Nothobranchius furzeri: one gene and its partners. The protein of the gene in region 1 interacts with the protein of each later gene in a biochemical or structural test. Links are inferred from orthologs where the notes say so. Each region holds a gene or a part of one and is shown in the gene's direction. Other genes may lie near its edges. The genes, in order: esr1, histone deacetylase 4, nrip1b, ubiquitin-protein ligase E3A, prohibitin-2, flii and sp1.

Region 1 (4,173 bases):
TCTCAGTGCCAGTGATAGGAATGCATCAAAACGAGAAAACCTCGGCTTAAATCAAGCGAACTAGCGCTGCATTATGACCAGTTCCTCTGTTTACGGGATGGTAAAGTGTTATGGGGGGCAGTGCAACAATAACGGCGACAACATTCGTCCTGTTTGGTGTGAAAGTGGAACCAGACCTCTTTTACTTCATAGATAAAACTGGAAGCTTATGTGCACACAGTTCTGTCAACTCAATGAAACCTGTCCTTTTTAAATTGGTGGTGATTACTGGGTTTTTGGGTGCATGGAGCAAATTGTGTTGTTTGCAAAACTAAATAAATAACTGCAGTGAATGGACCTTATCCCACATTGTCATGCTTTTTACAGAAGACGGATGGGAACCATGAATACTGGATTTGTCAAATCCAGTTTTTGAAAACTGGATCAAGATTTTTGCCAACACTTGATTGTTTTGATGAAGATCAGGAACAGGCTCCATCTAGGAGCTGAAATTTGCACCAAAAAGTCACAAAATGCTGCAACGTTCTGGATGAGCTACAAAAAAAATTCAGGCTTTGTCATGGTGGTCCTTCAGGAAAATGGAGTCATTTACTGCCGGAAGCTTCCTATCTTGTGCCATTTAGGCGATTTGCTGCAGCCGTTTCTCACCCTTGGCTTTTGCTGTTTCCCACCATCTTAATTTTATTTCAGGAGAAATGCAGAATGCTACGTAAATCATCAGAGCCACTTGTTTTCCACTTGACCTGACATCTCCTGAAGATGATGCTGTGAAGTCAAGAAAAGGTGAAGATGAAAGAAAGCTCCGTGCCCCAGTTATTTTGGTCTTTTCCAGTGGTTGCTGCAACTCGTCTGCTTTTGTAGCATCTATGCTCGCTTTATCTTGTTCCCTAAACTTAAAAGAACATTATTTCTAATTTGACGGCTGAGCCTATTTGGGATTTGATTAAAGTATCTAAACTTTTTCTGAGTATTTGCTGCCTTGATGTCTTTTCCCCAACATCCCAGGACATCAAAGGTCCCTGATGGTCCCAAACCTGAAACTTTTGCACTGCACAAACAAAAACTGTCCCCTCGCATCTTTGCACAAATCCTTTTTAATCTGCTGCTGATGATTCATTATGACGCAACACCAACCTGTAGAACCAGAAAAATCCTTCCATTTCCTGCAGTTTCATTCTAAACTTCACAGAAAGATCACTTAGATTGTGCATCTATTGTAAAAAACATCCATCTACACCCTTATTTGGACTTGGTTGCATAATTATTGTCCGTCAGAATGAGATTTGACCTCCCGCTTTGTTTGCTGTGTTATGGTGACCTGGCTCCTAAACGCACCATGGCTATTGATTTGGCTGCATCTTTAATTTGTTTATCCGTTTTTAAACCTTTCCACTGTTCCCAGCGAGTCCGACGAGCCCATCTAGATGCCTGTGAGGCAGGCAGAGAGGAAGGGAGAAGGAAATCAGCCGCCGTTGCGCAGCATATCTGAGGATGATTCATGTGTGAGAGGTGAGTGGAGTCTCATGCAGGATTTTTTTTATTGTTTTTTAGCTCGTGAGTTGTGAAGCTGTTTACTTTTATCCCGTTTTCACAGCGATCGGCTGCCGTGCATCAGGTGGATTTAGTCATTAGGCTGCAAATAGAGCGGGGATCTTTGCTGTGCGCTCAGGATCATCTAAATGAAGGAAGAATATTCAGAGATAGTCGTGCTGCTATAGAGTTTCCTCCTGTCTGGCATCCAGATGCAGCCGCTAAAAGCTATTTAATGCAAAGGTGAAGTGGAAATGGCCATGTGGAGGAGAGGAGACGGGGAAGTTATTTGGGAATCACTATTTCTGTCATTCCTTCTTGTCTTTTCCTCTCTCCCACCAGCTTTCCCTGACTCCCACACTTTAAAGGAAAAGAGGGAAACACTACACTCAGGAAAAAAATAACGAAGTGGATTGGGAGGAGTCTTTTTTTTAGAGCCTGTTGAGCAGAACCTGAAGGCAGACAGAGCAAAAGAGGACTCAGAGGTCTCTCCAAGTTGCTTGACAGGAGTTCTAGGAGAGACGAGATCCAGAGAGAGAAAGAAGAGAGGAAGGAGAGGGTGAGCAGTACTCCTCTCTCCCACCCAACAAATGGGAGAGCGGGTCTAAATCATGTTGCTTATCAGTGCTGTTGTGCTGTGATGTTCAGGCAGAGCCCGCTGCAGAGCAGGAAGCAGTTTGGACCAGCGCTCCGAACCAGGATCAGCCCAGCCTCCTCAGAGCTGGAGACCCTCTCCCCACCTCGGCTCTCACCCTCGCCCCGTGCCCTCCTCAGCGACATGTACCCTGAAGAGAGCCGAGGCTCTGGAGGGGTCGCCGCTGTGGACTTCCTAGAGGGGACGTACGACTACGCCGCCCCCACCCCTGCCCCAACTCCTCTTTACAGCAGCTCCACCACAGGGTACTACTCTGCTCCTCTGGACGCCCATGGACCTCCGTCTGATGGCAGCCTGCAGTCTCTGGGGAGTGGGCCAACCAGTCCTCTGGTGTTTGTGCCCACCAGTCCAAGACTCAGCCCCTTTATGCACCCTCCCGGTCACCACTATCTGGAAGCTGCTTCAACTCCCATCTACAGGTATGAGATTTGAATTTAAACGAGCGTGCACCACTCGTTAATCACTGATGGTGAGCACAGGCTGGAGCAGGACTTGATAGAACTGCTAAGATCAAGTCAATCTAAAATGTCAGATGAGTTTAGTCAATTATTAATAAAGACTTTAGGAGGCCATTTCATAAAAAATATATTTAAAAAATACTTATTTGGGTGTATTTCCCCAATTTTTTTCATGGTTTCATTTTGATGCAAATTACTGCTGCATAATTATACACTTTATTTCTAATTTACCACAAAAAAATCACAAGAAAGTTAAATGAAAAACTGCTTTTAGACATTTTGTTTTACAGGTGAAACTCAAAAAATTAGAATATCGTGCTCAAGCCCATTTATTTCTGTGATCCATCTTAGACTGAGAGACCATCTAAAGGCCCAGGAACCCTGTGCAGATGTTTATGATTCATTAGCTGATTAGAGTGTGACACTTTGAGCTTAGAATATGGAACATTTTCACAATATTCCGATTGTCTTGAGATTTTGAATTCGGGGCTTTTTATAAGCTGTACACCACAATCATCCCAATTATAACAAAGAAAGGCTTAAAATATCTGGCTTTGCATAGAATGAGTCCATCTCATTTATTAGTTTCACCTTTTAAGTCAAGTTACTGAAATAAATAAACTTTTGCTTGATATTCTAATTTTCAGAGTTTCACCTGTATTTTTAGTCTAAGAAAAAAAACATTCTTATGTAATGAGGTAAATATTCTTTGATTTATTCACTAGTTAATATAATGATAAATTCATATTTTTTGCACTCAAAATAAGAAAACTTGGTCATATTTAAGAATATTAAACTTTTTTCAATTAGTTTTGTTTTTGCAGATAACGTTTTTTTACATAAATAAGAAAAAATGTTCAAAATCAAGACTTTTTTTTAGCTTTTTTGAAAATCACTTTTTGCAGTGTATAGCATTGGCGGTTTGGTTGAGTCGTTAAAACGCCTTAAAACAAAACATAATTAAATAATCGCAGAGCTTTTTATCTCTAGCTTCAAACAAAACAGCACTATTATCTCTCTGTAAAGGATCAAGCGCTGTCCGGGTTTCTAATTCCAGAGATTAAGGACTTGGTAAAGGACCTTGAGAGAGGAACAATACGTAAGAACAACACAAGTGCACATGCAGTCTCAGGTGGAAAACACGAGGCCTCTGTCATTTTTAAAGTCACTATGCAAAGGTTCACCTCTCATCTGGAATGGATTTAATGGCTCTAAACACTTTTAAAAATGACAAAACTGGTATTTGTTCTGCATAATCGTCTAAACATTGCTTTTTATCCTCATATGCTAATAAAAAACTGTTATTTATAGTGTTTTATGAGTACCGCAGTTTAATCAACAAATTAAAATTCATGACTCGTTGCAGATCCAGTCACCAGCCAGCCTCCAGAGAGGACCAGTGTGACGCCCGTGACGAGGCATTCAGTGTGGGGGAGTTAGGAGCCGGAGCTGGGGGGTTTGAGATGGCCAAAGAGACACGTTTCTGTGCCGTGTGCAGCGACTACGCCTCTGGGTACCACTATGGGGTGT
Region 2 (4,036 bases), on another chromosome or scaffold:
TATGGAGATAAAACATCAACGTTGCTGTTAGCCAATTAGAGGAAAAATGTCCAAATATCAGGAAGTAATCATCCTAATCCTGCCTGTGAAGCTCCGCTCTGACGTGGCTCTCTTCTAGTTCCTGAAACGGGTGCGTTCATTCGTAATAGACACCGCTGCAGATACAGTTTACATGAGTAAACTACCACTTTACTTTGGGTGAATAATTTGTACCACATGAAAAGTACTTTTTCTTTCTTTTATTCAAGTATTGTATCATAGCGTATACAGATAACACCATACCTGTTTGGTATCGACTTTACCAGGTTTTAGTGCATCATACATCAGCTTCCTGCTGCCTGTGAGGAGACGGATGCACGCACAGAGACGAGTTTCATCAGGACCAAACCTGACCGCTGCAGCCATCCAGGCAGGGTGGTGTGAGACCAATATCCTCTAGCTTCCTAGATAATAAAAGTGTGTGTGTGTGTGTGTGTGTGTGTGTGTATTTGTGTGTGTTAGCGTGTGTGTGTGTGTGTGCGGATGTGTGTGTGTGTTAGCATATGTGTGTGCGTGTGTGAGCGTGTGTGCATGTGTGTGAGCATGTGTGTGTATGAGCGTGTGTGTGTGTGTGTGTGAGCGTGTGAGCGTGTGTGTGTGTTTGCATGTGCGTGTGTGTGTGCGTATGTGTGTGTTAGCATGTGTGTGTGCGTGCATGCATGTGGGTGCGTGTATACAGGTGTGCGAGCATGTGTGTGTGTGTGTGTGTGTGTGTGTGTGTGTGTGTGTGTGTGTGTGTGTGCGCGCGTGTGTGAGCGTGTGTGTGTGTGTGTGTTTGTGTATGCATGTGTGTGAGCGTGTGTGTGTGTGAGAGCGTGTGTGTGTGTGCACCAGTCTAGTCCACAGAGAATTCCAGAAATAGACCACGGATGGTGAGACTCTCGCCTGTTTTTCTCTTTTTTTCCCCTCTGAAGGGATTTCTCGTTATTTTTTAAATCTCAAACCCGTGTTTGTGCTGATGTCTGTACACTTTATGCTCAGAATGTAAATAGATAAATAGGTGTGTGTGTGAATACACGGACCAGGTGCTGTAGAACTATAAATGCTCACAGGATGCAGAGTGAGAGAGTTATTAGTAACAGATTTAGGAGGAGGAGATGGATGCATGTTGATTGTTTTTGTGCCCCCCCCCCCCCCCCCCCAGCTTTTTATAGCCATGTCTTCCCAGGGCTCAGCAGCTACAAAAGCCTTTTCATGTTGCCACTATAATTACAGCCTACACACACATGGACATGCATGCATACACACACACTCGCTGGAGCAGCGTCTTTGTGTTGGTGTGTGCGTGCTCTGCATGTGCAGTTATACACAAAAGGGTGAGCTATTTTTACCTCCCTCCCCTCCCCTCCTCTCCATCGCCTCCTCATCCCTCTCTCCGCCGCTGCTGCTAGCCACATTTGCTATGCTGAGCACAGGCGCTATCAGTCGAGCGCCAACATCTCTCCAACTCGCTCACAAGCGAACACACACACTCACTCTCACTCACACACACCAGCTGACGAGCGCTCCCTCTGAATCCCGGCTTATTCTTTAGCTCCGTCCGAGCATCCCTGCAGACGCGCCTCAGCGTTTGCTGCTCATGGATCAGGAAGCAGCTCAGGGGCTCGGAGGTGCACAGCGGCATGTGCTCTCCACCGTGCAGATGACCTGAAGCCCCTCTCTCTCTCTCTCCCTCTCTTTCTCTCCCACCTTCTCTCTTTCTCTCTCCGACTGGTTTTAACCGCCTGATTAGCAGGTTTGTGGCTGGAAGCCCGGCTCAATGCTGCGGACCATCTTTGAAGCAGAATGCTCTCTTTCTCCCACAGAGGGAATCCTGGGAAAGGAGCCGCCGCTGGAGGTCCTCAAGACGTCGGCGCTCAACCACATCCCAACAGGTTGGTCAATCTGTGTGTGTGTGTGTGTGTGTGTGTGTGTGTGTGTGTGTGTGTGTGAGTACGTGATGTTACTATCAACCACATCCTGTGTGACTTTGCTTTTTGGATGTGAGCGAGCCGGGGACACACCGTCTACTTGACCAGGAGACACCATGTTTACATCCCCAATGTTTTATTTAAGCCGCTCCGGTGCTGCCATTTTGCTGAATGAAAATCTGGAACTCCGAATGTTTGCGCGCACGCACGCACGCACACACACACACACACACACACACACACACAGACACACACACACACACACACACACACACACACACACACACACAGCTAAACAAACCCATTGTGCCTCTCAGTCAGTTCCTGAGTCCGTTTAATGTTCCCAAAACAATCTCTTGCAGCTCCCAGTGCTATAAGTTCCCATTCCCAAGTATTCCTGAATGCAGATCCATGTTGTCCGGTAGAAATTGTACAGGAAAAGTGAGGATGAGGAGAGTGGAGCAAAACCAGAGGGGCACAGATAAGGAAGGATAAATTGGTGTTGGGATAGTGCATCCCATAATTCTGTAATAAGGAAGCTTAAACTGCTCCCAGCTTTTGGTTTTTTGCCTCCCAGGATGGTTGGGTGAGTCTAATTCCTAATTCTGACTCCCAGACAGCAGCCAACGCTCCAGCACGCTGCCGTTTCTGCTCCTAGGTTATTTTTGTTTTCACTTCCTGCTCCTGCCTCCGGCTCAGCTGATAAAATATTGAAATCCACCAGAGCATCTTCATCTGATATTCTCAGAATCTGTTGTCTTGGCTACGAAGCTGCTGGGTGGCATGTGACCCGGACCGCTTCTCCTGCACGGAGAGGAGGGTGAAGCCATCTGGGAGTCTTTAAAACGCCCTGCAGGTGAGGATCACACCTGCAGAGGCCTCCTGAACTTTAGCTCTGTGTGTGTGTGTGTGTGTGTGTGTGTGTGTGTGTGTGTGTGTGTGTGTGTGTGTGTGTGTGTGTGTGCGCACTCCCAGCACGGATCCTTTGCGTAACGCCGTTGTGTGATGTCATTAGAAGGGCGACCACCCCCCCGCCCACTGCAGCTAAAACCTGATTCTACCTGGACAACAGATGAAGTGACTGTTGGCTGCAGGACTTTTCAGAATGAGCCCTCATCTGTGCCACATCCATTAGGGCCTAAGGGGCGGGGCTTAGGCAGTCGGACCGTGGGACCCGGGCTCCACGAACCGGGCCTCCAGTCAGAACCGCCAGCCCTCGACATTGTCTGGTATAAATAGATTCACAGCAGGAGCCAGAAGAGTTGTGGAGAGCGCCGGAGGGGTCGTAAACAGATTGTGATTAGTTTGTGGAGTGTGTGTGTGTGTGTGTGTGTGCGTGCGTGTGTGTGTGAGTGTGTGTGTGTGTGTGAGTGTGTGTGTGTGTGTGTGTGTGTGTGTGTGAGTGTGTGTGTGTGCGTGCGTGCGTGTGTAGGGGGGGGGGGTATGAAGGAGTGCAGGGGTGTGCAGAGGAACCCGCTGACAGGAAAGGTCGCTGAGTTAAAGCAAACGAAAAAGCTGTCAGAATTCCCTCTGAAGGAGATTCCTTTGAATCCCGATGCCTTTTAGAGATTCCCTCTGATCCACAAACGCTCCGATCAGACTCGCAGGAGAAAAAGAAAGTGAAGCGTGTGGATTCTCTTCCCTCTGAGTCTGAGCTAAATCAGGCTGCAGATCAAAGAGGATCTTTTTTTAGACCCCCCCACCCCCCACCCCCCCACACACACCTGTCATACAGGTAAGTCTGCCCGTTGTGTAATGTCTCTGGAGCCCCCGCCCCCCGTTTGGGTCGGATGGCGGCTGCCCTCATGTCGTCCTTATCTCACACACATCAGTAAACTCCAGCTCTGGCTTGACGTCAGTGCTCTGAGACAAAGAGGTGTTCAAATCAGAGTCTATCTGTTTATCAGCGAGGCTTCTGATTGGCTGGGACGTCTGCTGTGGTAACAAAGTTCAGGATGTCTTCAAAAGCAGAAACATCTTCTGATTGGTTCTCATTAGGGACTTTAAGACTGAACCCTCAGGCTCATCCAGACCGATGCAAGGAGCCCTTCGAGACAGAAAAGAGACATTATGAGAGCAAAGGAACC
Region 3 (3,929 bases), on another chromosome or scaffold:
GCATTGATGTTACTAATTTTTTTAAATCACAGCTCATCAGATCTCCAGACTTGATCCTGTTCATTATGGCCCAGTAGTTGCTGCTTCAGAAACCTTGTGGTTTGATCAAGGGTAACTTTCCACACATAAGCGTGGCCCGGCTGCCCTGTCTTTAGCACAAAGAGCTTTGTGTCTTCAGCTGATCAGCCATTTAACGTTAAACGTGCTAATATAGGCTTCTGAGATGGAGCTCCTTGTGTCTGTGATGATTTTTCTCTTTGGCATTGTGTTAACACGCGCCTGAGCTAAGACCTTAATTATTAAAGACATTATGCAACAATTCAGATGTATTCACCTAATACTTTATACTTGTTTAATGCCCAGAGACTATTTCACGGTGTCCTCTGTGTTTTCAGACTGTATGTCCTCATACTTCTGCTCATTCGTGTATTTAAGCAAGCGTGCTTCTGTTGGTGGGTGGGTGGCTCTTACTGTAGCTAGATGAAGGGTTGTGTGGTTTTAGATGAAGCTCAATTGCAAACGGAGTCGGGGGGGGGGGGGGGGGGGGCTAATCCAGTGAAATGGCAAGCTGCATAAAGAATTATGCACAGCTCTCAGAAGGCCCTTCACTTTTGAAAGACACAGCCGTGAGAGGCTTACAGCTCAAGACCTGAATGTTTTCAAGGTAGTGAGCTTGAATTTTCAATTTGAATCCAATCAAGGCTCATCTACATGTGTTGTGTGTTGGGTGGCTGTGAGGGAAGAGTGCAGAGAGAAGGAGCCGTGTGCAGTCAATCTGAAATGTTGCTAAGTAACAGCGATGGCAGACAAGGTGGGGAAATGAATGTGATATAGTGCTCTGCAAATCCCTGCTTCTCACATGGTTTCCTATTTTTCCCCTTTTTCCTTCCCCCACCACCCCTCCCTGTTTTCTCTCTATCTCTCACTTTTATAGATCTCCCCCCTCAGCTGTGAGCTCTACAGAGACACCACTGACAGAACAACAGACAACCATGGAATGCGTCAACATCATGGTGGTGGATTCCTGCTGACTCCTCGCTTGCTACTGGCATCAACCTGAATCTTGGCCTTCTGGGGTCCTGCAGCGTTTATAGGCATACAGCAATGCCTTGGAGGGCCGCCTGCCCCAGATTGCTTCCAGGCATGGTTGCTTCTTCAGCACGTTGCTGCTTGTAGCCTCTTCAGAACGATCCAAGTCCAGCGAGCGCATCCTTCTGCTCTTCTCTGTTCTCACCTGGCGCCAAGACCGGCCCTCTTTCTGGTGACTAACCAGTGCATGACTGAACCAGATGACCCAGATCACATTTATTTTCCAGTAGCAGTGCTAAGCAATACGAGGGGATCTGAGTATTGAACATGACTCATGGGGAGGAGCCTGGCCCTGAGACACACAAGGATTCAGCTGTTCTAACTTATCTGGAAGGTTTACTGATGCATCCAGTGGTGGCCGGGCCTGGGGCCACAGCAGGCGGGAGGTCCGAGGCTGTCCACAGCAATCAGCAACAGGGCAACAAGGTGGGGGGGTCCTTCCCACTAACTCACCATGCTCCAATAGCGCCCAAGGCTGGAACTAATAGACCGACTCTGGGTTCCTCACAACACCTGAAGAAGGCTCGCCTGCTGCGCTCCGGAGCGTGGAATGATCCGGGGAACCAGCGGCTGAGTTCACCCCCCATGGACCTGAATGGCCAAGTGGGAGGCCTGCAAAACGGAACGCTGGAGGAATCCCCTAATGCTGGAGAGAGCACCCTGTTGGCATCTCTGCTTCAGTCATTCACATCACAGCTTCAGAATGTGGCATTGTCTCAGAACACTAGTAAACCCACCAGTGAGTGTCCATCTCCAGCCAAGGCTCCAGCTGCAGACAAAGAGCCCCTACCTGTTTATGGGACAGCCTCCAGCCGCTTGAAAGGCCTCATGCGGAAGAGCAAACTACAGAATCACAACAACACCCCTTACAGCCGCCGTGGACACAGCCAGGACCGGCCACCAGAGTCCCCTCGATCAGCACACAGCGCCACGCCTCCTGCTGCTCCTGCTGAGTCGGTGTCCTGTGCTGAGCGTTTGAAAGCAGTGGCTAACTTGGTGAAAATTCGTTCTAGCCCCGCCCCCTCACCAAAGCCCAGCGTGGCCTGCAGTCAGCTTGCTCTGCTGCTGTCCAGCGAAGCACATCTGCAGCAGTACTCCAGAGAGCATGCTCTCAAAGCCCAGCTCTCAGGGAGATCAGCCAGCGAGAGACTGGCTGCAATGGCCAGCCAGCAGCACGACACAGACAAAAGGCCTCCAAGTGTTGGGGGGTCTCCAGACACACTAAGCTCCTTAGCAACTCAGAATGGAATGACAACTACCACGATGATGGCAACACTCCCTCGGACGGCAGTGTCCAGTCCTCAGAGCCCATCCCTGCTGCGTGGCCACAGCCAAAGCTCCCCACCCGCTGCTCCCCACGCGCCGAGCCAGCCCCCCAGAGAGAAAAGAGGCTTTGATGCTCGTCCAGTCCGCCCACCGCAGACATGCAGCAGCTTGCTGCTGCTGCTGCTGAACAACCACAACAGTCAGAAGCAGCTGACCAAGAACGGACACCTGGAGGACATCGGTGGCCTTCTGCCTCCAAGCGGCTCCTCTTCTGTCACGTCGGACAGTGAATGCTCCACCCATGAGAGAAGCATGACCAAGGACAGCAGTGATGCTGAGAGCTCCTACTCCAGCTGTTCCCCAATTGACCTCTCCATGAGAGGTCGTGGCAGTGCTAGTGCACAAGACACTGGGCCCAAAAATGCTCCCTCTTCTTCCTCTTCCGTCACCTCTGTGCTCTCTTCCTGTACCATGGTGCTGTCTTCCACCCCAGCATCATCCTCTCCTCAAGCCAGTGCTCAGCCCTCCACTTCATCCTACTCACCTTCTTCTTTGACTGTCTCCTCTGTATCCACTGCTATTTCTTCATCCTCGTCCTCCTCCTTCCCTACCTCCTCCCTGGACAAGCTAACGGAGTCTTTAATAAACAAGTGGAAACCAGAGCCATCCAGATCAAACGTCTCCAACAACAAGGAGCCAGAAATGAGTCCGGACCTAAAATCCCACCCGAAGGTCACTCTCATGCAGCTGCTGCTCGAGCGCAGGAACTCTGAGATGGCTAGCAAAAGCAGCGGGACACAGGACTTGCCTCTTGACATAACTATGGCCACCATGTCTCAAAGTCAGCAGAAAAGACTGATGTCCTGGGAGGAGAGCAGAACCAGAAGCTCCATAGAAAAGTCAGCAGGTCCGCCCCAGTCCCTCTACTCTTTTAGTCAGGACCCGAGTGGTGCACTTTCCCCGTATTCTTACCCCTCCCCCCATGTTCAGTCCAGCCCACTAGATTTGTGTAAGTCTAAAGCCTTCCCAGCTGAGAGGTCCTCAGAGCCAGCCTTTAGTGCCAGTAAACTGTTGCAGAATCTGGCCCAGTGTGGCACCACCACCTCCTCCTCCTCCTCCTCCTCCACCCCGCCCATCCCCTCCAGCAAAGGCCTGGGCCAGGAGATCGACACCAGCAGGCCCCTGGCCTTGATGGAAAGACTTAATGCTCCAGTCCACCGGACCAGCACCACTCCACTGTCAGATGGAGCATCAGGCAGCGGCACACCTTTCATTCACAAGGAGCCGTCCACTCCCTCCTCACAGATCGAGAACCTCCTGGAGAGGCGCACTGTGCTGCAGCTTCTTTTAGGAACCGGGTCGGCCGGCAGTACCACCAGCCGCAAAGACAAGTCCAGTGGTGGTTACCGGAGGAGTACTGAGGCAGCTGGGGGGTGCTACGAGACCAGCCCTGCCACCACTGTCCTTTGTGACAGCTCTAACGAACCTATCTTAGATGTGAAGGTAAAGTCTGAGCTCACAGAGGAGGCGGGGCCACCTCCTGCCAGGTCTGAGGACTTTAGCAGCAAAAAGAG
Region 4 (2,991 bases), on another chromosome or scaffold:
TTCACCATTAGCATTGTTAGCGCATTGTTAGCCTCTAGCCTGCTTCTCCTGAAATTTGAGTAAAACAAAAAGATGCTGTGGCTTCTTAGGGGTACAAGAAATGACTTCTGGGTTGCTCCTGTTTACAGGCTACTGTCCTTTAAACAACTTTTTGCCTGTTGGTTTTGAATTACAAATGCCTGAGCTGCTGAGTTAGCTCACTGCAGATTCGGCAACCTCACAAACTCTGAGTGTAAACGGTGACTACGTCCCACTTTTCTTCTTTTCAAAAAGAGAAACATTGACAGACTCTAAGCTGTGTGAGAAGGACATCGGTTCCAGTTTCACCTTTCTTCCAACCTGACAGACATTAGACCTTTTTGGGATTATTTCTCACAAATTGCACCTTTATGTGGGATGAAACTCTTGCATGGTTACAACAAATAAAATCTGACCAGTGTGGCGTGCATTTGTATACACCCACCCATAAAAAGTTTGATTTTGGTCTGGTCCCACCAGAGTACCTTCTTCCTCATATCTGCTACATGACTAAGGTTGGGCATTGTTTGATTTTGAACGATTCCAATTCCTCAGTTTGATTCCGGTTCCTATCGATTCCCGATTCCGGTTCTTTCAAGACATGGCATGTTTTACATGAGCCAGCTAACCACAGGTCCTGCTTGATGAAATAATCTTAACTTCAACATTAATTTTAACTCTATGAACAACAACATCACCTTCATTTAGACAGAAACATGTTTTGGAGGAAAAAAGAAAGACTTGCAGCACAACCAGTGTGTTTGTTTCTGACCACAACCAAAGTCTGGAAGCAGCCTCTGGGATGAGAGGCTTAATGTCTCCAACATATCCAGAAACGTCCAGCTGTTTTCAGCTAAAACTCTCAGGAAGATCATGTCCAGGATGACTGAGAACTACACCTCCATGCAGCAGCAGCATTCAGTTAGAACAGAAAGTGAAACTTAATTGTAGCTGCTGTCAGTAACAATCTAACAGACACGAGTGTTGGTGAGCGGCTGCATCTGACTGCTGATGCTCCGTGTGTGTTTTTATTTCAGCAGTGAGACAAACTCACCTCACACCGTCCAGAGTTCTTTAAAGCTTCTGTTAAATCCACCGTGTTGACGTATTTTAACACGTTTCCTCTACGCTGCAGGAGTAAAGTTTACGTTACGGAGTAAAAGTTCGGCAGACGTGTTTGTTTATATCTGGGTGGGGGGAGGGGGGACTCGGTGCTGCACACAGACAGCTGGTGTGATCAGCTCTGAAAAGCGTTGATCACAATTTGCAGATCACGTTTATTTTTCATGATCGGCCGCGGATTCCTCTTCCAGTCGGCATTCTAGGAATCGAAATAAAAAACTTTGAACGATTCTGGGGAAAACTAACGGTTTCAACCGGTTCCAATCGATGCTCGATGCCCAACCCTAAATGACTCCTGGAAAACAAAAGCCCCTGATGACTCGTGTGTAACCTGAGTGGGAGTGAGTGGTGACCCCAGCTGTGTTGTGTGTTTTGTCTCCAGGTTACCCACGTCCCACACTTGCTTCAACGTGCTGCTGCTGCCTGAGTACAGCAGCAAGGACAAGCTGAGAGAGAGACTGCTGAAAGCCATCACCTATGCCAAAGGGTTTGGCATGCTCTGAGCCCCCCGCCCCCTCCTGCTACTAACAGACTCCTACTCAGAAAGCCCATGAAGCCCCGCCCTTGTTTTACCAGTCCAAACGGTGACTGATCACCCCCCACGCCGGGGGGTGTGTGTCCAGAAGGAAACATCAGTGAAAATGAGAGGACCCGTGGTTGTACGCCAGCGCACTATTACATCTGCTGCTGTGCCTGCATCATCCTACATCCGTCAGTGAGAGCACAGAGACCTCCTGAAGCACCCCCTCCTTTATGTTCCATGTACAGAGAGGATCATTTTCCTTATTATTTATTTGAAGGTTAAAATGGGTTCATCCATGCCTGTCTGTTGTGGTAGCTTCCCTACTCTGGGAAAGGGGGAGGGTTCCTATTAATCCATGTACATTTGGGACAGTGTCAAGTCAATAAAACCAGTTTATTGAACAAAACCTTGCTAAAGTAACCCTGATCTATCCAATCTTATGATCTAGTTTAGAGTAGCCTTTACTACAGATCCTGTACTCCCCTCTGAAGAGAGCCTTCACTCACCATTCCACCCACTCCTGTTGCTTTCTGTGTCCACAGACACAAAAATGATTAAGGTAAGCATCTGAGGGAGGACTGTCCTTTGGTCCAAAACGGCACATTATCGTAAATCTGTAGCTTATTTTTTAGTGCTTGGGCTTTTTTCGTTTGTATTCTGGGGGGACTCTGTTGGTTAGATTCGATCTTGTCAGAGCTGTGTAAAGTGCACTTAGACATTTTCAGAATGTTTGTTTCTTTGGCCACAGGTTGCCATTATTGTTTGGAGCATTTCATTTCCTTGTCTTCCTGTGTTGACAATTCCAAATAAAAACAAAACCAGTGTTTATATATGAGTGCAGCTGGAACTGCAGCAGTGGATGGTGCCTACGCACCTGCATTTATTTATAAAGCGCCATCTAGAGTCCCAGAACCCCCAAGGCACTTACAACACACACACTAGTGGTGGTGTAGCCGCAGCTGCCCAGGGGCACACATTCAGCTCCATCAGACCCTTCAACCATCACCAGCAGGTGAGGAGAGTGGAGTTTCTTTCCAACAGACCAGGGGTCTCATTTATCAAACATTGCGTAGAATCCTTACTAAAACCCTACTTAAGCTCAGAAACAAAATGTACTTACGCCAAGTAGGTTTGTGATCCAGTGGAGTACGCACAGCTGCACGCAATCTCCGCTTCATAAATCGGAGACTAACGAGAATGTTTCTCAGCTGCTTTTTAGTCACATCCCGCCCTCACCACGCCCACTTACTGCCATAAATAGTCAATGCAAATTGCCTTGTGGATCTCATGCATATACATAAGCCGGCTGTTGCAGCACTCCGCCAATG
Region 5 (3,500 bases), on another chromosome or scaffold:
AACAGAACAACATATCTTCTTACGTTCGTAATCCTGTTTGTCTCATGCTTCAGCAGTGTGTTGTAGTCAGTGTTATTAACTGAAAAATATTAAATAATTACTTGTCTTCACAATCACATTTTCTTTATTATTGGTCTCTCCATTTGTGCTTCCATTTATGGTGCATGTTCGTGTTGATACAGCAACCAGCAACGTATTGTACAAAAAATCCCAAATAAAACTAATAATGTAAAAAGTTTATAAACTATTTCAAACTGTGGGGAATATTTTTAAAACGTAGAATCAAACAAGCTGAAATAAACCCGTCTACAGCTCGTCCTACTCACAACCAACAAGCTGCACACAGTTAGCTCATTAAAGGTTATCTAGCTAAAACTGGCAACATAAAATACCATCGTTGGCTTATTTTGGTACGAAGCGGTTAGCTAACGCTTCACAATGCAACAAAATGATGACATTTCATCAACTTACCAGAGAGAATCCTTCCGAAACACCGAAAATGAACAGTAGTCAATGCAGCAGCGGGGGCTGTTTGGAACTATTCGAAGCTACATGAACCACGTGACTCCCGCATTCCGTGACGTAACTCTCTCTACAGCTCTGACAAAACCCTGCCCTCCTCTCCCAATGATTGGACAGGAATTTGAGAAACGTGATTGGTAGCTAAGACTCGTGCTCTCATTGGTTCCACCCAAGTTCCTCCCACTGACGCTAGAATCGAGACAAAAAGATCCGTAACACTGTAGATTTGAGGTTTGTACCTGTAGAATGAAATGCGTGTTTTGAGAGTTTTGATTTCAAACTTGTACCTTGATTTTTTCAATTTGGAAGTCTGCTAGTTACAAAACGAAAGTTTCATGTTTCTGAATGAATGTTTGATGTTACTGAATGAGTAGTAAATGTTCAAAATAAAAGTTTGATTTTACAAAATAAAAAATACATGTACAAAATGAAAATTTCCTGTTACAAAACAAGAAATACAAGTACAAATTGAGAATTACAAGTTAGAAAACTAAAGTTACAAGTTACGAATCCAAAGTTACATGTGATGAAACATGTTCGGAGTTACAAAACTTGGTACAAGTTACGCTGAATATTGTCTCAAACCTAGCTCCATAGGTTTCCCCCAGAAAATGAGTTAAGCCTGGCAAATTCCTGCAGCGCTCCTCTGTGAGAGCGGGGGTGGGTGGTTGCACACATTCCGCTGCTGTTTCTCACCAGTATCAGCTGATGGAGGGCTCTAGTTTCGTTGCGCCGTCCGTGTCAGCGGACTCGGTAGGATCAGGGAGGGGGGGCGGGGCATGACCATCGACATATAAATATTGGACAATGGGTTTCCATAGGCTCCAATAACACATTTTTGAAGATAAATGGGAGGTGGCCACCACCGCCATTTTGACCGTGTCACAGGTTCCATCAAGCCCAGACAATTCCGCAAAAGGGAAGAGAGGAGGAGCTGAGGGTGGGGCTATAAGGCTGGGATCAACTGACGACACCCGGTCGAACTAGCTACAAGCTAAACTGAAGCTAACCCAAAGCTAATGCAGAGGTGGGAGCAAAGCTAACGGAGGTAGCAACCTAGCTACAACCGGAGTTAACTGTGCACAACACCAGAGCTTCTGAGTCAGATACGCCGGGCTGACCGCAGGGTAAAACCGGGTGGAACACAGAGGTCTCCCGAGAGCTCCACAAGCCGGCAGCCGCACAGCAGACAAGCGCCGCTGCGATCTGAGATGCGCAGAGCTGCCGCTGGGGAGAACCGGGTGGAAAATGTCGGTCTCCTGAGAGCTCCACAAGCCGATAGTCGGAACCCAGCTCCACCAACATGTTATATTTCAACCCATTTTCTAAAGTGCAGCATTGTGTTAAATGCACTGGGGTTTACCCTATTACATTTAAATTTCATGGTTTAACAGTACAAGTTAAAATCTAAGGCTTGGCAGTGACCTAAAATACATAAATATAATTTTACTTACCGAAAAATATGAAGTGGAGGCTCCTTGGATGCTCTATTAGTGCAATTAATACCACGGCAAGTCATTTTGTCCAACAATTGCACAAAAAATATCCAAAAAAGAATACACAAACACAGAGGCTCAAAATCCCGGAACAGTTTCCAAGCCAGGCCGAGGCTCTACTGAGGCCTTTCCACGGAGCTAGCTCTGTGGTCACGTGGGTCTGATGCTCATTAATTATACAGAATTTTAGGCTTTTAATACACTTAAACAGAAGAGTGAGAAAAAATTCACCCCCCTCAGAGTTGTCATGAGTGTAAACTAGATAATTTAAACCTAAAACATGTTTTGGTACCAGGCTGTAAACATGTTTATTTCTGCTGTGAAATTGGTATTTTTAACATGGGAGTCAATGAGGATTTGCTCGCTTCTGACACCAGCCCCCAGCGAATGAGGGTGGAACTGCAATTTTTGGTACTTCCGGGTTGGGCTCAATTTTTGAGCCGCATTGTGGGGGCTTGGGCATGACGCGTAGCCTGGCGGGTGGTCAAGCAAAGCCTGGCGGGCCGCCAGGCTTATAAAGCGCTGGGGGAAACCCTGAGAAATGAACCACTGGGTTCAAACTAAATAACAAACCAAGGCAAACATTTAGTCTGGTGTCATTTCTTACACCCTTCAGCATAAATGTGTGACTCTAAAGCTGCTCACAGAAATTAAAAGCTCATTTATGAACCTATTATGGATTTTAGAACTTAATTAAAGGCCAGAATTGGACGTGGCCTCTGGGTTTTCTGGGTTTTTAGGATTTTGTGAGCATTTGCAAAGCTTTTCTCAGACTGAGATGTGACTGTTGAATGAGGAAACAGATTTCTTTAGTTAATCTTTTTAAATGTTTAAATTGTTTTGCACTTTCACATTGTCCTAATTGTTGTGTCAAAGCAACAATCTGACATCTATTCATGGATGAAAACAAATCCAGATGAAATAATCCAGATGCATTCTTGGTATCGGGAGACAGTGAAGATCCTCACCTGTAGCCAGCTGGAATCAGAACATTGGTGATGTTAACCATGTGTTTGTCATCTTCTGGTTCCTCGTGGATGACAAATGAAATGAAACTGAATATTTGATCATATTTTTTTATTTCTGTTGGTGGTCCTTTTGGACAAGCGGTCCCATAACTAACCAGCTAACCTGATCCACCTGCTCAGAGCAGCTGGTGTTAGTTCTGGTCTCGGCCCGGCTGACGGCGTCCTCTCTGCAGGTGTCCCTGCTGATCCGTAGGGAGCTGTTCGAGCGAGCAAAAGACTTCAACATCATCCTGGATGACGTTGCCATCACCGAGCTCAGCTTCAGCCGAGAGTACACGGCCGCCGTGGAGGCCAAACAAGTCGGTGAGTAAACAGGAAGTGACCTCCAGCTGATATTCTATGTGACTAATACTGATTTATTCTAAAGAAGAAAAACTTCTTATGTGTCCTTTTTCAACCCAAAATCTCATCGAGAGCTTTGCAGATGATTTGTTGAGCTGTTTCTGTGCGTCTG
Region 6 (4,074 bases), on another chromosome or scaffold:
AGAAGGGTGATGTCACCACGGTGTTGGACGTACGGAACTTCCGTTTAGAGGATTTTCAAATTAAGACTACATTTGATGAAGCCCTGTATAACCCCTCTGCATTTTAAAGATACGGCTTTTACTTTGAAGATAAAACATGCTTTTAAAATCACTTTGGTAGCTTCTTGATAATCTTTTGGAAGGAAGTCCTACAAACTTTTAGGGTAACGCATAATAAAGATATAAATAACCAGCAAAGTAAAGAAAATTCACGTGAAAGTTAATTTTGAGGACGCACAAAAACGTGAGCACTCAGAGTACACAGCTCTGAGGTTCTGAGGAACGTGTGAAATTAGCAAAAGATAAAGAATAACCTTTTTTTCCTGTTTTACATTAACCAAGGAACACAATATGACAAAACACATAGAGTTAACGAATAGAAGATGTTCAAAGTGAAACCAGAGTGTTGTTCTGTTTTTTGACAGCGAAGGCAGAAAATTCCCATTCTTTTTCATTACTGGATTATACCAATGAATGTTGACTGTCTTTTGTTGTACTTCCTTATTTCCCAATGAATTACTGTGACACTATAAACAAAGAGAGTGAAAAAAGTATTTCAATCCCTTAAACAAATGTATAAAAGAGATAAAAAATAAAATGATTAACTTATATAGATCCGTTACATAAATGTGTGAGGGGAGGGGGTGATGAAAGGGAAAAAAACAACTAGTATGTAGTCGTATGTGTATATATATGTATGTATATAGATCTATAACTTAATGCTTCTTTCTGTGTAAATTGTTTTCTTTTTTTTTCTCAATTCATGGGTTGAGATTGTGTCGGCCAACAAGTCCAAGAACTATATTGTTCAATTTCTTTAAGAATCATATGATTATTTCATTTGTATTAATGTTATTTTAGTTAAAAGGGGCAGACAACATAAGTTTTTCTTCTTTCTGTCCCCTTTTTCATTGTGGCTTGCAGCAATTTAGTTCTGTATTTTTATTTTTATGTCAATAAATGAAAATAAAAGATTGAAAAAAAATAATAATAAAAATAATTGAATGATTCAAATCAAATGCAGATAATGTTTATTATTTAGTTTGTGGGTTTATTTTATTTATTTATTTATTTTTGCTTTCTTGCTGTGCTGTTTTGTTCTACCGGTTAATGTGTTCATTTTAGTGTTGTATTTACATATGACTGCTTGAGGGCGCTCTTACGCAAGGTTTTAATCCCCACACAGACGCAATACAGCACATAGCCAGCAGATGGCGGTAAACTGCTCATGAGTGTGGCATGGTTGTAATAAAAGGAAGAAGAAGGATCCACTCCCTACCTCTGTTAGGACCAAAATAGACAGAAAAACTGACATCAGTTCGTCAAAAATGGCTGCCACCGGAGTTCTTCCCTTCATTCGGGGGGTCGACCTCAGTGGAAACGACTTTAAAGTAAGGATTAAGAGCACCGTTTTTCACTTTTAGATCAGTTTACGTCTTTAGCTTAGCTGAAGCTATTGCGGGAATGAGACTCATCAGAAAATGACTGACCAACATAGCTCAGGAGCAATGGGCGTTAGCCAGTTGTCAAACTGACGAAGTTGTTGTTCCTTCTCGTCTAAATCTGGTAGATCTTTGTTAGAGAAAGGGCTGCCCTTTTAGTTTGACTCTGTGAACGTTTTTATTTGTTTAGAGGCAAACTACTAGCTACGTCTAACGTCACGTCACCCAGCTAATTTGGCTAAACGTCGAAGGCTAACTTTTATTTGTTTGGGTCAGAAGCGTATGATGTTAACATTTTCACCTTAAGTGGGATAAAAGCTGTGGATGAATTTTAGATGCCCGAGTTGATAGGAGACTTATTAAACTATAGTTGTTAAACGTCAAGTAACAAATAGATGACCAGCAAGCAGACCAGTGTAAAATCCAAATATGTAAGTATTTAAATTTAAAACCGGCCCTTAAAGGATTTAATCATGTCAGTGGGTTCAGATTAGTTTCTGCTTGACCAATAATAATCGGTCAATGCATTTTTACATATTATTAAAGGTAAAAAATAAGTAATTTAAGGATATTCATTTATTATTTCATCAGGAAGGTTAAAAGCCTCGTTTTCAAGGGAGTCCTGGCCAAGAGGCCTTTAATGCTACAGTCACAACATTTCTCAATTATACAGTTAGTTGGGGTCTCAATCCAAACCCACAAAATACCTGTCTGGCTCTAAATGTCTGGTTTTCTCTTTTTGTGTCAGTCATCAAATAGATGTATGACGTCATGTGAATGCCGCATTATTTCTATAATTATAATCAGTAATTAAAGCTATTTCTAGGAAAACAGTGCAATTATGCCTCATGGGTCAGATAAGGTTTTACAATGGATCTATCAGACTGTGTGTGTGTGTGTGTTGTAGAGCTGCACGATATTAGGAAAACCTTTGATTACCGTGATTAATATTGCAATGACTTGCAATAATTAAACAAATGCTTAAATAAGCAGTGCTCGTTTTGAATCATAAACACTTTAGACACGCCACTCCATCGTCTATCCTAAGTATTAACACTAACAAAATGAAATCATTAAAGTTGACATTACAAAATTAGCTGATCTGTTTAAAAAAAATTGTAAAAACTTTAAATATGTTGGAGCTATGGGACATATAGGACAACACTGTTGAACATTTTCAGAGCTAAACGGATATGTTTGCTCCCGCAGCCATTAATGCACTTACCCACTGCACTGGACCCCTTGACCCAGTTGTTCCGTTTGTGGCTCTCGGCTCATTGTACTCATTGGCATCAAAGCCATAGCCAAATAATGTGCAAGGGCCTCCGTTATTTCCTTGTGCCACTTTGATGGTTTCTCATAGAGCGTTCCACCCACAAAACTCTGACAGATTGGCATCTGGTGGGCTGTTGTGCTCTTGTCTTAACATCAGAGACTTTGGGCTTGCCAACGCTAGCTTTCTGAAGCCCCGTATATAGATATTTATGGTTGATGACAACAGTGGTTTGTCGTATTTCCCCTCATGCATGCCACAAGTGTTTGGCATGTCTTGCAAAGTACTTGTGTTTGTTGAACGTTGTGTCTCTCGTAACCAAAATGTCTTGACATAAGAGATGTGCTGTTTTAAACGTGGGTTATTTATCTTACCCGCGACACTTAAACTAACTCCAGTGTTTGCTAGCCATCCATCCACCTTGAGGTCTAACCCATAAGAACCCACCTGACTGGCCAAACTGGTGAAGGGCTCTAACTGATTAGACAAAAATGTCATGCTTCTGTTTGACAAATTGCGTTTTGTGTATCAAACATTTGAGCTGACCTAATTTATTTTCTGTTCTTTGTGATTTGCGTATTGCACATGCTGATACTGCGATGATGCTACATATGCGATGTATTGTGCAACCCTAGTATGCTGGATAATTATTAAGTATTACAAAAATGCAGACAAATTTTATATATTTGAATTTTTTTTGATAAAAATTGTTTTCAACTTCTATTTCAGACTAAATAATCAAAATTACCAGATTAACCATTTCTTATACATAAAAACAGAACCTGCGTATTTAACCCTCAGGTGTCGTTGGAGACATTTTTGTCCATTTGGGCATTTTTCCCTTTTAGTTTGGACGACTTTTTTTTTTTTTTTTGCAGTGTTTGTGCATGTGGTGTAAAATTTTGTCGCTAAACCTCTCTCTTGACAAATTTTGAAATTCAATTTGGATTTTTGAAAAAAGACTAAGGGAACACTATGAAAAAATAAAAACACTATCCTGTTGTGACATTTGAGGACAAAACGGTCTGCTCATAAAAAAGGCTATAAAAAATGTTTACATTCATATATTTTAGGCTTTTTTTCATAGACTTGTTAAACAACTTGAGCCCTGCTCAAATCCACAAAAACTTTGTCCTTTTGAGGATTTTAACCCTTCAAATTCCAGTTTGAATACTCAGTCATTCCTGCAATTTATAAAAATACACAAAAATTAGTTATTGACTCATTCACTACCAGTGACGACTAAAGTCGTCATTTACATTTTTTTACTGTGTGGGCGTCTGAACGAGCCCCAGCACCGAGAGAACAAACTTCTCAGCT
Region 7 (4,278 bases), on another chromosome or scaffold:
ACACCTTTCCAATATGTCTCAGAGTATGACTTTTTTGCACAAAATGTGTTATCTGGGTTATTATTTTGGTATAACAACAAGAAAATATTTGTATAAGCATCTACTATACCAGATAAATGCTTTGACATGCTTTTGTTCAAATAAGCAGAACTTAATGTTAAGGCTCTGCGGCACGAGGTCCATGATTGCTGTCAGGGTGGCACTGGCACACCTTGGACACCTTCCACTAGCACTGCCCCGGTTATATCCTGTTTATTTGATATTTCCTGATTTTAGCACATTTTTTGTGCTAACTTTTTACCCAACAGCATTTCTTTAGAGTACTTGTGAAGTGATAACATAGATAAATCCTGTGATAAGCATAGAAACCAGAAGGCACTTAATTGTTCTACATAACAGGATTAAACATAGCAATTTGAACACAATATTGAACCTGACTAAATCAATCAAATTCAATTGTGTGTGTGTGTGTGTGTGTGTGTGTGTGTGTGTGTAAACAGACAGGCCAGGGTGGTATGGATGTATGGACTCCACCCTCTGACATGTTTATACATGGACACATGTGCTATTTCAATGACAGCCCCTAGCAGAGATAAAAGCCCTCCCAGTCCAACCATCTTCCACTCCCAGCCCAGCATAGTAGCCAGTGTGGTGAGTGTTATGAGGGTTCTTCTCCACCCTTTCTGACTCCTCCCGCCACATTACTGTTTACCGACTCACAAAGCCACAAGGGAGTGGCCAACGGCCACGGAGGCAAGACTCAAGCACTCGTTCAGCCCTCCTTACTTCCCACCTCTGTGGCCAGAGACATTAACAACGTTTGGCGTTGTTTCACTGTTGAAATTTGACTCCACTTCAAGACGGGGCTAAGCGAATTATCAGTATTTACGTGGACTAAACTATAGTGACGTCGTTTTAGCGGAAAACAAATAACCCGACGTCAATCATGCTCAAGAGCACAACCTACCGTGCTTAATCCCGCCCACCCCTCCAACTATGGTGAAATTAGATTAGTCAACTGGTGCTCTTTAGGCGAGACAAACAATTCTATTGGACAATGGATTATTCCATCACCCGTATTGCTGATTGAGGAGCGCTTGTTTTTTTTTCGGCACAGTACGGTACGCGTACTACCAAACGAAAAAGAAAAAAAAAATCTTAAATATTCCGAGTTTAAATCGGTTTGAATTGAATTATTTACAGCATGTGTGGCGGTACTCACTCTACCGTTTCATTTCTGCCTTGTAACTTGTACATGTCTATGATAAGTTCAGGAGTCGGTTTTACTTTGATTTAAGCGCCAAGAAAACCCAGCATTCTTTCAAAATGTCATCTACTGGCTCACTTAAGTTTCACAAATTATATTTTTATAATCTCTAGTTAAAAAGTAGTCTAACTTGAAATAGGTTTGAGAAGTTCATTGCACCATCTCGAATCTAGTTTACATAAATCGAACGCACTCATACGCCTACTTCAAAGGGAGGGGGAACTTAAGTTTGTGTGAAGTTGTGAAAAGTTGTCAAGCTGAAAAAAGAGCAGAAACTCCTCCCGTCTTCTAATTATGAGCAGTAAGTGGACTTTTAAAACTTGGAGGCATACTACGTGCGTACTTATAACTCAAGGGTATGACGTAGCAACATCGTGTTATTTGTATTAAGTGGTGGATTTTGCGCTGCATTGTTGTCTAGTCTGAAGCAGTTTTAAAGTGACGTTAGTTTATTGTTACTTAACGCTACTTGTTAGTGGTTCTTTAGAAAACGACGCTGTCCCCTCTTTAGAATTGTAGGTTATGGTATTCCTCAAACAAAAAATAGCGGTAATGTTTTATCAGAACGGTGGAAACTGCGTTGGTGCACTTAATTAATGCTTAACTAGTTTATTGTTTATTACTTGTGCTGAGTTCACGTTAGCTCACAAGCTAACTGGCCTTGTGAGGGCTTGAAATGTTTTCCAACCCGAATCTTCCACAAAGCATTCTTAAGTTGACTTGTTGTGAAACATGTAGTCGTTTTTCTTTGTTTGATTTTTGTTTTCGTGTATAACTGATCTATTATGTTCCAAGAAGTCTTACAAGTGTTCTTCCGCAGATCAGCAGCAGCAGGGTGAAATGGCCGCTGTGGAGAGCGGCGGAGGATTCAGCCAGAAGCGAAACACAAACTCACAAGTAAGTTAACCACTTAGCGACATTTCGTTCTCATCGTGTGTGCCACTTGTTGAATTTGTTGTGTTCGTCTGTGCGTGTGTGTCTGGACCTGAGCGGGTTGTTGATTTTCTCACCAGAGCACATGTCATCGGGGTGGGAACTGGGCAGGTAAATTTCGCCCACACGGGGTGTTCCCATCTAACCCGGGCACTTCTTGTATGTTTCGCTCGGCCCATTTGGCTCTCCTTGGAGGGGGTGGCTAGTGAAGTGTGCTAGTTTATAGGGCGAAAATCAAGTGTGGGAGGGAGATGGGTGGGCTTGGGGGGAGGGGAAGCCGAGCCCGCCGCTGCTCCGGAAAATGTGGTCCCTCCCTCCCATGTCCCCTCACCCAATGCGTTTTCTCTGTGAAGCCCACTCCCCTACAAGCGCTTCAATGAAACTCGCTAGACTTAAACGCAGTGATATTATGGTTTTCACTAAACAAGCTAGATTTCTTTTAGAATAAGGAACCTAATTTGTTTTAACTTGAAACATCATGCCTTTCTTCCTATTTTTTAACAGGTCCAATATACAATATGCTAGAACATGTGATCCCCTTGCACGGTTTAAGATATAATTTATGTTCCACTTTATTTGTGTTGCTGTAAACATCTTGTTTATAATAATTAGGGTTGCTTTTATTGTTCTCCAGTTTGAATATGCGTGGACAAAAGAGTTCATGGGGCTTTGGGGGATGTGATTTTACATGAGTAGTTTTATTCATTCATTTATAAAGCACCTTCATGCTGCCAATCAAGGCAAAACACAAAATTGCATGACGCACATAAAAAGGTAAAAGTAGAGAATGGAAAAGTAAGTAAATCAAATACAAACATAAAACCAGTACAAAGGAAACCTAAAATTTAAAGCACACTAAACGGTAATAATATACAGTTACAAAAATAAGCCACTAACAGACGGAAAATGAAAAGTGATACAAAAACCATCCAGCTTTGAAGCATTACAAGGAGGGAACATGTTTAATCTCCAGAGTTCAAAAGTCTATAGAAAAAAAAACAAGAGAAGGCATGGTCACCCCCCAGTCTAAATCCTCGAGACTACTAAGAGACTGGGATCGGCTGAGCGACGAGATCTTGGCAGAACATGTTTAGAAAGCAAGGCTGATGTGTATGCTGGAGCCATCCCAGCAAAGGCCAAACATTGTAGAAAAAGCTAAAGAGTATCACAGTAACTGTCAAAATTGGTTTGAAATATGAAATTCATCCATTTTGTTCAGGAAAGTCTGCTAAAAACTTGTGCAGCAACAAATGTTCACATCAGAATTTCTGGCACTCAATTGTCTCTATAGATGTAAGATAGCATGCTCTGTTATTATTGTCTGTTTACATTTTCCTGTTTGATCTTCATTTATACTGATTATAGGACTCACAGCAGCCGTCTCCTTTGGCCTTGCTGGCAGCCACGTGCAGTCGAATCGACACCCCCGGAGAAAACGATTCTACCGCAGACCAACAGCTGGAAATAAACCCGGGTGTCTTCACCTCCAGTGCCAACGGCTGGCAGGTCGTTCCTCTAAGCGTTCAGGCATCCTCCGGCTCTAACACAATCACCACTGATTCCTCAGGGGTGATGACAGGAGACAATGGCAAAAGCAGACAGGTGCTGTCACCATCAAGTACTCAGGGTCAGCAGCCACAGCAGTATGTAGTAGCTCAGGCCCCATCTGTGCCAGGTCAGCAGGTTCTAACCACCATATCAGGTGTGATGCCCAATATACAGTACCAAGTAATACCCCAATTTCAGACAGTAGATGGCCAACCGCTGCACTTTGCACATGCTCAACAGGAACCTGCTGCAGCAGGACAAGGACAACAGTTTCAGATAGTGTCCTCTCCAAATGGCCAGCAGATTATTGCTGCATCCAATAGAGCTGGTGCAGCTGGAAACATCATAACCATGCCCAGTGTCCTTCAGGGAGCCATCCCCATTCAGAACATCTTAGGCAATGGTGTTTTACAAAATCAGCCCCAGTTTCTGGCAAACATGCCAGTATCCTTGAATGGAAACATCACTTTGGTGCCTGTCAGTACAGGTTCTACTGGAGGGGATGCAAATGGTAGTGGAGAAACGGGTGG

Evidence for each region.
Region 2: the proteins of esr1 (region 1) and histone deacetylase 4 form a complex in vitro, tested with the Homo sapiens proteins (2 studies listed by BioGRID). The link is inferred for Nothobranchius furzeri from reciprocal best matches to the Homo sapiens genes ESR1 and HDAC4.
Region 3: the proteins of esr1 (region 1) and nrip1b form a complex in vitro, tested with the Homo sapiens proteins (4 studies listed by BioGRID, with this or other methods). The link is inferred for Nothobranchius furzeri from reciprocal best matches to the Homo sapiens genes ESR1 and NRIP1.
Region 4: the proteins of esr1 (region 1) and ubiquitin-protein ligase E3A form a complex in vitro, tested with the Homo sapiens proteins (2 studies listed by BioGRID, with this or other methods). The link is inferred for Nothobranchius furzeri from reciprocal best matches to the Homo sapiens genes ESR1 and UBE3A.
Region 5: the proteins of esr1 (region 1) and prohibitin-2 form a complex in vitro, tested with the Homo sapiens proteins (3 studies listed by BioGRID). The link is inferred for Nothobranchius furzeri from reciprocal best matches to the Homo sapiens genes ESR1 and PHB2.
Region 6: the proteins of esr1 (region 1) and flii form a complex in vitro, tested with the Homo sapiens proteins (2 studies listed by BioGRID). The link is inferred for Nothobranchius furzeri from reciprocal best matches to the Homo sapiens genes ESR1 and FLII.
Region 7: the proteins of esr1 (region 1) and sp1 form a complex in vitro, tested with the Homo sapiens proteins (6 studies listed by BioGRID and IntAct). The link is inferred for Nothobranchius furzeri from reciprocal best matches to the Homo sapiens genes ESR1 and SP1.

What each region holds. Positions count from the first base shown.
Region 1 is NC_091742.1:2,865,243-2,869,415, reverse strand, and holds the start of esr1 (estrogen receptor), read left to right. Parts: upstream 1-1,373; 5' UTR 1,374-1,498; coding exon 1,499-1,509; intron 1,510-1,938; exon of another isoform or gene 1,939-2,089; intron 2,090-2,178; coding exon 2,179-2,604; intron 2,605-4,009; coding exon 4,010-4,173.
Region 2 is NC_091754.1:47,244,973-47,249,008, reverse strand, and holds the start of histone deacetylase 4, read left to right. Parts: upstream 1-1,236; 5' UTR 1,237-1,798; coding exon 1,799-1,913; intron 1,914-4,036. UniProt on the Homo sapiens protein: Responsible for the deacetylation of lysine residues on the N-terminal part of the core histones (H2A, H2B, H3 and H4).
Region 3 is NC_091750.1:42,800,869-42,804,797, reverse strand, and holds the start of nrip1b (nuclear receptor-interacting protein 1), read left to right. Parts: upstream 1-1,129; 5' UTR 1,130-1,356; coding exon 1,357-3,929. UniProt on the Homo sapiens protein: Modulates transcriptional activation by steroid receptors such as NR3C1, NR3C2 and ESR1. Also modulates transcriptional repression by nuclear hormone receptors.
Region 4 is NC_091743.1:81,627,780-81,630,770, forward strand, and holds the end of ubiquitin-protein ligase E3A, read left to right. Parts: intron 1-1,522; coding exon 1,523-1,643; 3' UTR 1,644-2,491; downstream 2,492-2,991. UniProt on the Homo sapiens protein: E3 ubiquitin-protein ligase which accepts ubiquitin from an E2 ubiquitin-conjugating enzyme in the form of a thioester and transfers it to its substrates.
Region 5 is NC_091751.1:35,022,832-35,026,331, reverse strand, and holds part of prohibitin-2, read left to right. Parts: intron 1-3,219; coding exon 3,220-3,349; intron 3,350-3,500.
Region 6 is NC_091752.1:64,032,441-64,036,514, reverse strand, and holds the start of flii (protein flightless-1 homolog), read left to right. Parts: upstream 1-1,274; 5' UTR 1,275-1,367; coding exon 1,368-1,430; intron 1,431-4,074. UniProt on the Homo sapiens protein: Is a regulator of actin polymerization, required for proper myofibril organization and regulation of the length of sarcomeric thin filaments. It also plays a role in the assembly of cardiomyocyte cell adhesion complexes.
Region 7 is NC_091743.1:62,035,352-62,039,629, forward strand, and holds the start of sp1 (transcription factor Sp1), read left to right. Parts: upstream 1-1,478; 5' UTR 1,479-1,561; coding exon 1,562-1,568; exon of another isoform or gene 1,569-1,623; intron 1,624-2,087; coding exon 2,088-2,164; intron 2,165-3,565; coding exon 3,566-4,278. UniProt on the Homo sapiens protein: Transcription factor that can activate or repress transcription in response to physiological and pathological stimuli.